3 linked regions of the Mus musculus genome follow. The main gene of each other region encodes a partner of the protein of the gene in region 2 in a complex. Links are inferred from orthologs where the notes say so. Each region holds a gene or a part of one and is shown on either strand. Other genes may lie near its edges.

Region 1 (3,517 bases), on a different chromosome or scaffold from region 2:
CAAAGCCAGCCTCACCTACATAAGGAGGTTTGGCTACTTGAAACTACATGTCAAGAAAAACAAAAGTAAAAATATAAAAAGGTCATTATCCATTAACCAACAGAACAGGTGTTTTCTTCTCATGGTTTATTATAAACAGAAACATAGCCTTGTTATGATCTACAGATGAAAATGTGGAATGGTATCATTGCCCTCCTCCTCCCCCACTGCTGCTGTTAGCATATTACTGTAGATTCTTACCAGAGGCTTCCATTGACAGAAGGTTCGTAAAGGTGGATTCTGTCACTTGTCATTTGCTGACTCAGAGATAGTATTAGAGCAGTAAAATACACTGAGGGGGAAGAAGTGAAATTACTAATAAATTTGACTGCTGTTTATATTGAATTTTAAGACCAAAATAAGCCACACTTTGGTGAATGATTATACAAAAGAAATACATTTAATGCCACTAGGCAGCTTTTATTATGTAGATAATACGGTGCAGAGTGTAATAGGTGAGTACAATTTTATCATTGGAACTGGCAAGAAAGAGCCTAAAAGGATTTTAAGAATTTAAATTACTTGTTCAAGGTCCTCAAACTCGCTTTAATAGAATCTTGTAACCTACAAAAAATGTACTGTAGAATGCCAGAAATATATAAAATGGTATTCATTACTAAAAGGCCATGCCAGCTGTGTCTACCAAGTGGAAAACACAGAAGCTGAATAAGTAATGAAGGCCACACATTTAACATTACTTATTACTTTTGGTGCAGAACATTAAACCCAGCATCTCACATATACATTCAACTTCTGAAAGTCATTTGGATGATCTTCAAATAAGAAACACTTGCAAGCCAGGCACGGCACTGGGTGGTTACAAATCCCAGCATTTAAAGGAGAGCAAACAGAATGAGAAGTTCAAGGCTATTCTCAACCACACACAAAGTTCAAGGCCAGCCTGAGCTATGTAACAGATCCTACCTCAAAAACAAAAACAAAAGAATAGTTCTAAAAAAATTACTCCTACCACATTTTAAATTACAAATTCATTGATCTAATGGTTTATATGAAGAAATAATATAAACCTTCTATACAATATTTTTCTTGATTCAAAGTGACAGAATTGCTCCTCAATTATAACATAGTTATCACAGTAACTATTACTCACGAAAAGAAGCTAAAGCTGTTGGTTCCAGGGCCAAAAAGTTCCGGATTGCTACTGATATTTTAGCAAAGTCAGTCCTAGAATGAGATGAAAGCTTTGTCACTGTGCAGCTGTAACACAATGTACTTCCCTCGGTGGTGTTCCCTTCTCTAGTCTACCTACCGCCACACACACACACACACACACACACCTTGAGTTATGAGCTTTGGTGCACATGTGGAGGTAGGAGTTGGTTGTCTCCTACCACAATATGGGTCCTAGGTAGTAGCAAACTGAGGACAGCAGGCATGAGAGCAGGCATCTTTACCCATGGAGCCATCTCCCCAGTCCTGCTGATATTTTTTAAAATGGGTTGACCTATGTGTTTCCCAAAATAAGTGGTGATGGTCTAACCTTAGTCCTTATGAAGGTGACTTTATTTGGAAATGAGATCTCTATGGATACTTTGAAATGAAGATAAGGCCATGCTAATCCAAAGACTGGTTTAAAAAACAAACATTCTACCTTGAAAAGTCATAGTGACATATATTGCTCACTATTTCTTCCTAAAGGAAGGTTAGAAGGCCCCACATTCACAACAGCCTTACCTATCAAATGCTGAAACTGTACTTAGAGCCAAAAGCAAGTAAAGAAGGCTCTGGAAGGGATAAGCCAAGGGCTTGTACTGCTGCAGAAGGTTGGAGACATTAGACAGCTGATCTCCTGCAAGAACGTAGATCACAACAGTATTCCACACAGCACAGCCAGCCAAGAAGCCATGAGAGAACAGACCGACCATCCTGCACAGAAGAGTTTAATTACTGTGGGAATGGAGGTCCCAGGGTGGGGTGGGAACTTACTCTTCTCTGAGGAGAGAGGGAGCAGGTAATCAGGAGAGGGACATATGGGCAGGACGGGGTGGACAGGAGGAAGCGGTGCTGTGATTGGTATGTAAAGTCAATAAATAAATTATGAAAAGTACTCAAAGATAAGAAGGAGAAAAGTTTAATTATATATTAGCCACTAAAATAAAAGGCTAAGGTATTTTTAAAATCTCCTCAAATATAATACAATTTAACATATTATGAGAAGCACAAGTGGAATGTCTACAAAACTAAATCTACATACCATTTTAAATTGTCAAACTGTTTACAAAGTACAGAACAACCAAGGCTTTTTTCTTTGGTTTTAAATGATGATATCCAATTAACATCTGCTTAACGAACACCAACAAAAGGCAGCCACCTGAAAGCTCGGTGCACAGAAAGTGCCACATCTCGGGTAGTCCAAGATGGCTTCACGTCCATTGACACATCTATGTTTTCTGTGGTCTTTATCAACTCGGAACGGTCCGCCGCCTGAAACCTCCCTGGGAGCACAGAGAACACAGTCACTAATGGGACTTATTTATTTAAAAATGTATTTTAAAACAAATAAAATCCAGTTGGGAAAAAAAACAATAGCATAATGACTAGTTTTGTGTGTCAATTTTCCTCTACATTACTTTATTATTTCCTTCACTCAGGTCATCAGAACTATCATCACCAGGTTAAAGATATCCCTATACAATATTTAGAGCAATTGTATTCCAAAACAAGGAGTTACTTACGGCTTTTTTCCACAAATACTTTGCCAACAGGCTGGCTAACTCCGGTGGGTGCCGTGAACCTAGAGTGATGTTCTAGAGTGCTCTGCTCATCTGTGAGTATGTCTTCATCTTCCACCCCTAGCTCGCTAGCATACTGTGGCTCAGCTGGCTGGGTTTTCCTGAAATCAGAGAAAATTGTTGAAACAATAGATCATTCTTGGATTTCTAAAGAGCCACATAAGAAATTACCCACGAATATAATGGAAAGAGTCCTGAACTTGGAGTGAAAGAAATATGCCGTTTACTCAACTAGATTTGTTACTAGCTGCACACACGCTTGTGCACTGCAGTTTCCTCACTGAGAGAAGGGGCACTGACCGGGCTGGATTTCTCCTGACTTCCAGTTATAAAATTCTACTAAATGTGATTGGTTATTCTTTGTAGTCATTTTTAGGTACAAACATTACTGTTATGTAACTTCCAGCATATTTTTAAGTATGCTGTTGTATTTTATATGATATATGTTATTATTTACAACATATATATATATATATAAAATGTATGTAACTATATAATATAGTTATTTTCCTATATTAAAACACAATGGTTAAAGTTATTTCAAAATATTTCAAATCCATTAACATAAAGAAACAAATCACAGTAGCTTATGTTTAAACATTAATCTTTATCTCAGGTTTTGCAACTTATATGAAAATATTCTCCTTGCTAACACTTTCTTAGAGACGAGTCCTTGGGCTATTTCCATACACTATTCTTTTCCTTTCTCTTCTTCTCTTTTCAGT
Region 2 (4,240 bases):
TAACTTCATCCTTTAAATAGGAATAAAGTACCTCTTGGAGAGGTTTTTGGGAGGGTTACAGGCAATACAAATGAAAAATGAGTAGGTGCTATTTGTGGTGAGTTCTTAGTGCACACAATGAATAGTTAGGTGCTCATGATTTCTCTGCTCTATAATCGGATGGCCATGAAATGTCCCAGGCCAGGCAACAATTGCTTATTCGGATGAATAAGTAGCAACCGTCAAATACTAATTGTCAATATTGATATTGCCAAACTGCCGGAATTAAACTTATACCATCTTTCCTTGGATGTGCCAGTGAACCATGACTTCTGAATGTCACTCTGGTGGTTTTTCAGGGGCTGGCTCGGAGTCTTAACTGGTTAATAATCCAGAACCAACATGCCCCAGGGAAAACACCCTTTCCTTCCTTTCTGCTGGCTTCCTTGTTTTTTATTTCTCTGGCTCAGTGCATACCAACAAAACTACTAATATACCTGCCCCACAGGTTTTTTTTCTTCCAGGAATGTTTTCTTTCTTTTTTTCTTTTTCTTTCTTTCTCTTCTTCTTCTTCTTCTTCTTCTTCTTCTTCTTCTTCTTCTTCTTCTTCTTCTTCTTCTTCTTCTTCTTCTTCTTCTTCTTCTCCTCCTCCTCCTCCTCCTCCTCCTCCTCCTCCTCCTCCTCCTCCTCCTCCTCCTCCTCCTCCTCCTCCTTCTTCTTTCTCTTTTCTTTTCCTGTCTTTTCTTTTCTTTTTCCTGAGACAGGGTTTCTCTGTATAGCCCTGGCTGTCCTGGAACTCACTCTGTAGACCAGGCTGGCCTCGAACTCAGCAATCTGCCTGCCTCTGCCTCTCAAGTGCTGGGATTAAAGGCGTGCGCTACCACTGCCCGGCTGTTTTTTAATTTTTGTTTGCATGTCCTTTTAGTCATATCCACCAACTGTTTAGGCCTGAGTTTTCTCTCCTTAAATTTTTTTAAATTTATTTTATGCATAATGGTGAACATGTTTGTGCAACACATGTGTACTGTAAGGCGGCAAGGTGTCTGACCCTTTGGAACTGGAGTAGAGACAGGTGTGAGTGGCCATCTGGGCCTGCTAGTTCCTCTGAAAGTCCAGTCACTAACCTCTTAACCACTAAGCCATTTCTCCACGCCCCCTAGGCCGAAGTTTTCAAATGTTCAGTGGAAGGCAGTGTTTGATCAGAAAGTAAGGACTCAGGTCACCTGGTTCTGGCCACCATCACCATTTTTGCACCTAAACAAAGTAGCTGATGGCGGTTTTCTCTTTTGTGCAGTGCACCAACTTTCACCTTGGGTGGAGGTGAGCTTTACTCACACAGGACAGCTGAGGGTCCCGCTGCCAGGCTAGGGACTGGCTCCCGCAGACGTGGAGAGCTGCGCGCGCAGCGCCTCCCTTGCCTAAGAAGCCAGCGTCTCCGTTGCCAGGGGAACGAGGCACCACGCTTTCCGGCGCGGTCGCAGCGCGAAGCAGCTGTCATGGCGGAAGCGGTCTGGAGCACTGACACCGGCGAGGCCGTGTATCGCTCCCGGGACCCCGTGCGCAACCTGCGCCTCCGGTAGTCACTCGACCCCAGTTTCAGGGCCCCCTAACTTTATGCTCCGAGGCCCCCTAACTTTATTCCACCCTAAGCTTTTAGATGCTCAGAGGCCCCTACTTCCGCTTACAATCCCAACTACTTCCTCTGCCATCTCTGCGCGCGTCTTGTTATCAGGATCTTTTTCCACTGAAAGCTTCCAAGTACACCTTTCAGATTCACCCTGCCCAAGTCCCTTCAAGTTCTCGCCACTTTCAAACCCCTCGGGTCCCTGTGCTGATTTATCCAGCAGACGCCCCTACCCACCTCTTCTTTGCAGCAGCCTTGACTTCTCTGCCTCTGTGATTTCTTTCCCCGATTCATGCTCTGTATATCTCCTTGCTGTGTGTCTCTGACACGCGTATTTGGGGCTTCTCTTCTCTTGACAGAGTTCATCTGCAAAGAATCACATCAAGCAACTTCCTTCATTACCAGCCTGCTGCCCAGATGGGGAAGGACCTCATAGACTTGGCCACTTTTAGGCCTCCGCAAGCTGCTAGTGGGTGTTTGTGATGACGCTACATTCATTTGAGACTAAGGCAGGGGTGCGGGGCAGTAGAGGTACAGAGGAGGAACGGAAGGCTCAGAGAGGTTGAGTTTATTGCCCAGTGTCACCTAGCCGAGGAATATAGAAGCATTTGAATGAACCTGGGCAATCATCTTTTTAATTTTTTATTATTTATTTATTTTTTTACATTGTAATTTACTTTTGTGTGTGTGTGCACGCCCATGCCACAGTGCGAGAGTGAAGTTCAGGGGATAACTTTTGCGAACCAGTTCAGTTATCTCTTCACCAGATGAATCCTGGGGCTTGAGCCATCTTACCCGAGTTGTGACTTGGGGGATGGGGAAAGGACTTCTAAGAGAAATATGTTCCAAACTCCAAATGTATGTATAAATACACTTAAAAAACAATTTTAAAACAGGAGTTTGCACGAAAATATGATTTTTTCCTCTTGCCTTGAAAGCCAAAAGAAAGGACAGGACCGTCGTGTTTGGCCAATAATTTTTCATGCTTTTGTCATTGTTCTTTCTACTCAGAAATATTCTTAGGCAAAAAGGGTAGCCTGGCAGATCACAAATCATGCATCTTGTGTTTCTGGATGATTCGGTGGTGGTTTCAGAAAAACATCAGGGTCCTTATCTAGCAAATTCAGCCAGGATTGAGGAAGGGCTGGCCCTTCAGCCTCTAGCTAAACTCTAGTGCCTTATACGGGACTAGAGAATGTTTCTTGGAAGGCAGAGCTACCTTTTATTCAAATTAGAGTAATGATTAGGACACCTCAGGCCCTAATCTTGCTTCTAGTATTAACCAAAGTATGTCCACCACCTGCATTCTATGTTTAGAGTGAGCGCTTAGTGAGTCACTAAATTCCAGTGGGGTTTGCGGTCAATGTGAGTAGGGACTTTGAAGGCAGACCTGGTGGTATACACGTGTAATGTCAGCGTTTTTCTGCCGAGGCAGGAGGATCTGGAATGTGAGGTCAGACCGGGCTGCAGAATGAGACACTTCCAAACAACAATAGCAAAAAATTTTAAAACCCAAATGAGACAAGAATAGGAACACTGGTTGTAATCAACCAGAGAGGAAGAAATGTTGCTGGTCTGACTCACTCTGTTGTGTTTGGAGGTGGACACCGCCCTGACGAAGAAGAGGAGGAAGAGGTTGTAATTGGATGGCAGGAAAAGCTCTTTAGCCAGGTGAGCCAGCATTTCTTGTCTTCAGTCTACCTCCACCTACCTGACTCCCACCGGGCCAGTGACTCATACCGTCAAACTCATCTCCAGGAAAGGTTGTGGTGGCTTATACTTATGTTTATGTTATGTTTATGTGGCTATTGTAATATAACGGCTGCCATGTTCAGTTTAGCGTTCTAGGTAAGGCACTCCCCATCTCCGGGCTCTATAACATCTCTAGCAACAAGGTTGGATTAGAACATCAGCTTGGATCCTTTTAACTCGAATATTCTTAGATTTTTTTCCCCCTGCCCTTCATTTTTTGAACAAAGTGACAGTCGGTTTTCAAAACGTGTCAGCTAGCGCTAGAAGTGATTTGGTTCAGTAGCTGCAGGAACCGAAGTTTGAGGTAGTCCCAGCTGATCTGTTTCTTTGTGGTGACCTCAGTTTGAAGTCGACCTGTACCAAAATGAATCCGCGTGCCAGAGCCCACTGGATCATCAGTACCGCCAAGAGATCTTGAAACTGGAGAATTCTGGCGGCAGGAAAAACCGGCGAATCTTCACTTACACTGACTCGGATAGATACACCGACTTGGAAGAGGTATCATTCCTTCTGGGCCCTCATTGCTTTCTTGTTTGTCTCCCCTGGTTTTCTAGCCTCGCTGGCTCTAGGTTGTAAGTGGAAAGCCCAGTAAATGGGGCGATATAGAACATAGATGGTTCTAGAAGCTGCTGGAAGCTGCTGGCAGCCAGGCTGCAGTGGGCAGATGCAGGTGATGTCCTTCTGCCTGTCAGAGGGCCCATGGGACCTGATAGCATAGGAATTGATGACATAGATGGGCAGGGTCTAGAACAATCCATTTACAATTCAGTCAAAGTCAGGAGTTTATAGGCAAGAAGAGGAACATGATTAGGCTGTGGGGATACCTGTGTCTTAGCCTGTGTCCCTGAGCCCTTGTGGGCTTGTTTTACATTCTCTTCCATTACT
Region 3 (3,517 bases), on a different chromosome or scaffold from region 2:
GACAGATAGTCCAACCAACCAACCTTAAGTATCTGAAGCAAAGTCACTCGAGATTTAGGATGTGCAAATAGGGGCTACACATAACGGCTCAGTGGTTAAGAGCACTGGCTGATCTTGCTTCTGCAGAGGACCTGAGTGTAGTTTCCAGCACCCACATGATAGCTCACAGCCATCTGCAACAACACTTTCAGGGCCTCTTCCAGAACCCTTCTGACCTCTGTGTATAGCAGGCATGCATTCAGTGCACAGACATATGTGCATGCAAACATTTATACACATAAAAATAAATCTTAACAAAATGTATAAATAGAGCTTGGTGGATTGAATAGCACTTGCTTGGTAAACACATGATGATTAGAGTTAGACTTTGGGGGGTTTTTTCTATTTTTTTTTTTTTTAAGGTTTACTTATTTATTTTGTGTGCGTGCTCCATCTGCATGTACACCTGTGTGCCAGAAGAGGGCATCAGATCCCATCACAGATGGTAGTGAGCCACCTTGTGGTTGCTGGGAATTGAACTCTGGGACCTCTTAATGGCCGAGCCAGCTCTCCAGCCCTGCTCTTTCCATTTGGACAGACTGACTTGGAGATGGAGCTAGCACACAGTGGTCAGCTCTAGTCTAGTGTGTAAGAGACCCTAGCCAATCCCTAGCTCCCTAAACAAAGAACAACAGGAATAAGAGCAAGGAGGGAGAGGAAAAAGAAACTCCTCTCTAGGGGCTGGAGACAGGGCTCAAATCTGTCCTTACAGAGGACCCAAAGTTTTCACCTTCCTCAGGCAGCTCATAGTCACCTATACCTTGAGCCCCAGGGCATCTAACAGCGTCTTCTGGCTTGCATAGTCCCCACCCACCCACCCACCCACCCACACATATAACTAAAATAAATAACTGATTTTGTTTGGTTTTTTTGGGGGGGTTGTATGTAGGTGTTTGGTTTTGTTTGTTTGTTTTTATTTATTTCATGTATGTGAGTACAATGTAGCTCTCTTCAGACACACCAGAAGAGGGCATCGGATCCCATTACAGATGGTTGTGAGCCACCATGTGGTTGCTGGGAATTGGACTCAGGACCTCCAGAAGAGCAGTCAGTGGTCTTAACCACTGAGACGTCTCTCTAGCCCTTCTTTTTCTTTTTCTTTTCTTTCTTTCTTTTTGTTGTTGTTGTTTGTTTGTTGGTTGGTTGGTTGGTTGGTTTTTGGTTTTCCAAGACAGGGTTTCTCTGTATAGCACTGGCTCACTTTGTAGACCAGGCTGGCCTTGAACTCAGATCTGCTTGTCTCTGCCTCCCAAATGCTGGGATTAAAGATGTGTGTGCCACCACTGTCCAGCTATAACAATTCTCTAAGAAAGTAAATCTCTTCTTTTGTAGTCCAGAGAAGAAGACCGGAACCAGGATGGAAAAATGGATGTGCTGTACTTTAAACTTGAACTTCCCCTGCAACCCACAGAGCATGTCCTCGGTGTGCAGCTAATCCTGACCTTCTCCTACCAACTGCACGTGAGTCTGTCCTCACATATATGTCTGCATGTCAGAAGAGGGCACCAGATCTCATTATAGATGGATGTGAGCCACCATGTGGTTGCTGGGAATTGAACTCAGGACCTCTGCAAGAGCAGTCAGTGCTCTTAACCTCTGAGTCATCTCTCCTTCTCCTCCTCCTTCTCCCTAGGGAGAGCCACACTGCAGATGGCTCTTCTATGGAAAGTGACTAGGAACTTAACATAGACAAATTGAGTATTCAAAGTAATAGGCCTTTCTGGGCAGAAAGTTCCTGAGTGGGCTAACACACTCATGCCGGGCCTATCATCTTCAGCTGCTGACAAGTGAGTTGTGGACCCCCAGGCTCTTCAGACCTGACAATGTCATCATCTCTCTCCCTAATGATTTTAGAGGATGTCAACATTCGAGATGCAGAGCATGGCCTTTCTCCAGTCCTCCTTTGCTGTCCCTGGGTCACAGTTATATGTGAATGGCGACCTGAGGCTGCAACAGAAGCAGCCACTGAGCTACCGTGGCCTGGACATCAGATACAACGTAAGGATGCCCTTGTAGTCCAGCACCTTCAGGCCTAGGCTTATCACAGCCTTCAAAGGACAAGAAATTTAAGCTTAGAAATATAGCATTTAGTTCTTCTTATGTGTACGAGTGTTCTGCCTGAATGGATGTTGGGCACCATAAATGTGCAGTGCTGGACCCAAGCCCACGTCCTTAGAAGAGTAGTCAGTGCTCTAAACCACTAAACCATCTCTCCAGCCCCATCATGAATTTTCTTTCTTTCTTTCTTCCTTCCTTCCTTTCTTCCTTCCTTTCTTTCTTTCTTTCTTTCTTTCTTTCTTTCTTTCTTTCTTTCTTTTTATAAAGATTTATTTATTATATACACAGCATATATAGTTCTGCATATATATCTGCATGTCAGAAGAGGGCACCAGATCTCATTATAGATGGATGTGAGCTATCATGTGGTTGCTGGGAATTGAACTCAGGACCTCTGCAAGAGCAGTCAGTGCTCTTAACCTTTGAGTGATCTCTCCAGCCCAAATTCTTAATGTAGGAAGGGAGTTGGAGGGCTGGCTCAATGGTTGAGAGCACTAGCTGTTCTTCCAGAGGACCCAGGTCTGATTTCCAGCATTGAGGTAGCAGCCTACAACTGCTTGTAGTTCCACTTCCAATGGCTCCATCATCCTCTTCTGGCCTCCTCAGGCACTGTGCACAGATGGTGCACAGAAACACATATAGACAAAACACACATACACATAAAAAATAATAATTTTTTTTTTTTTTTTTTTTTTTTGGTTTTTCGAGACAGGGTTTCTCTGTATAGCCCTGGCTGTCCTGGAACTCACTCTGTAGACCAGGCTGGCCTCGAACTCAGAAATCCGCCTGCCTCTGCCTCCCGAGTGCTGGGATTAAAGGCGTGCGCCACCACGCCCGGCGATAAAAATAATAATTTTTTAAAGGTTTATTTATTTATTTTATGTATATGAGTACACTGTAGTTGTCTTCAGACACCCCAGAAGAGGGCGTAGTTGCTGAGAATTGAACTCAGGGCCTTTGGAAGAGCAGTCCATGATTTTAACAACTGAACCATCAATCTAGCCCCTAATTTTTTTTGTAGAAGTAAAAAAGGCACACCTTGGTTTATACCCGGAGAGAGAGGGGAAGCATTCTTACTAAAGAACCAAACTGTCTATTGCTTTCAGGTACACACATTCCAAATGTATTCTGTGTTAATTTTTGTCGCTGTTTGTTTGTCTTGTTTTGTTTCTTTAAAACTGTAGCCCTGGCTGTCCAGGAACTTGCCCTGTAGACCAGGCTGGCCTCAGACTCAGGCAGGGATACACCTGCCCTGTTGGGATTAAAGGCATTCATCATCACCAGGCCAACTTCTGCTAGTTTATTGCTTGCTGTGACCATTCCTGACAGAATAACCTGAAAGGGGAAAGATCTATTTTGCTCACAGTTTCCTCCCTGTGGGAGGGAGGGGAATAAAGAGCTCCTCATGCTGTGTCCTGAA

What was found. Proteins that work in one complex are often made in the same cells at the same time.
Region 1: Mks1 (region 2) and Tmem237 share a complex: the UniProt entries of both Homo sapiens proteins name them as parts of the tectonic-like complex. The link is inferred for Mus musculus from reciprocal best matches to the Homo sapiens genes MKS1 and TMEM237.
Region 3: Mks1 (region 2) and Tmem231 share a complex: the UniProt entries of both Homo sapiens proteins name them as parts of the tectonic-like complex. The link is inferred for Mus musculus from reciprocal best matches to the Homo sapiens genes MKS1 and TMEM231.

What each region holds. Positions count from the first base shown.
Region 1 is NC_000067.6:59,106,304-59,109,820, forward strand, and holds part of Tmem237 (transmembrane protein 237), read right to left. Parts: intron 2,894-3,517; coding exon 2,736-2,893; intron 2,496-2,735; coding exon 2,372-2,495; intron 1,927-2,371; coding exon 1,735-1,926; intron 1,225-1,734; coding exon 1,151-1,224; intron 332-1,150; coding exon 241-331; intron 1-240. UniProt on the Homo sapiens protein: Component of the transition zone in primary cilia. Required for ciliogenesis.
Region 2 is NC_000077.6:87,851,775-87,856,014, forward strand, and holds the start of Mks1 (Meckel syndrome type 1 protein homolog), read left to right. Parts: upstream 1-1,440; 5' UTR 1,441-1,475; coding exon 1,476-1,555; intron 1,556-1,962; coding exon 1,963-2,072; intron 2,073-3,203; coding exon 3,204-3,274; intron 3,275-3,697; coding exon 3,698-3,853; intron 3,854-4,240. UniProt on the Homo sapiens protein: Component of the tectonic-like complex, a complex localized at the transition zone of primary cilia and acting as a barrier that prevents diffusion of transmembrane proteins between the cilia and plasma membranes.
Region 3 is NC_000074.6:111,916,811-111,920,327, reverse strand, and holds part of Tmem231 (transmembrane protein 231), read left to right. Parts: intron 1-1,371; coding exon 1,372-1,500; intron 1,501-1,893; coding exon 1,894-2,037; intron 2,038-3,517. UniProt on the Homo sapiens protein: Transmembrane component of the tectonic-like complex, a complex localized at the transition zone of primary cilia and acting as a barrier that prevents diffusion of transmembrane proteins between the cilia and plasma membranes.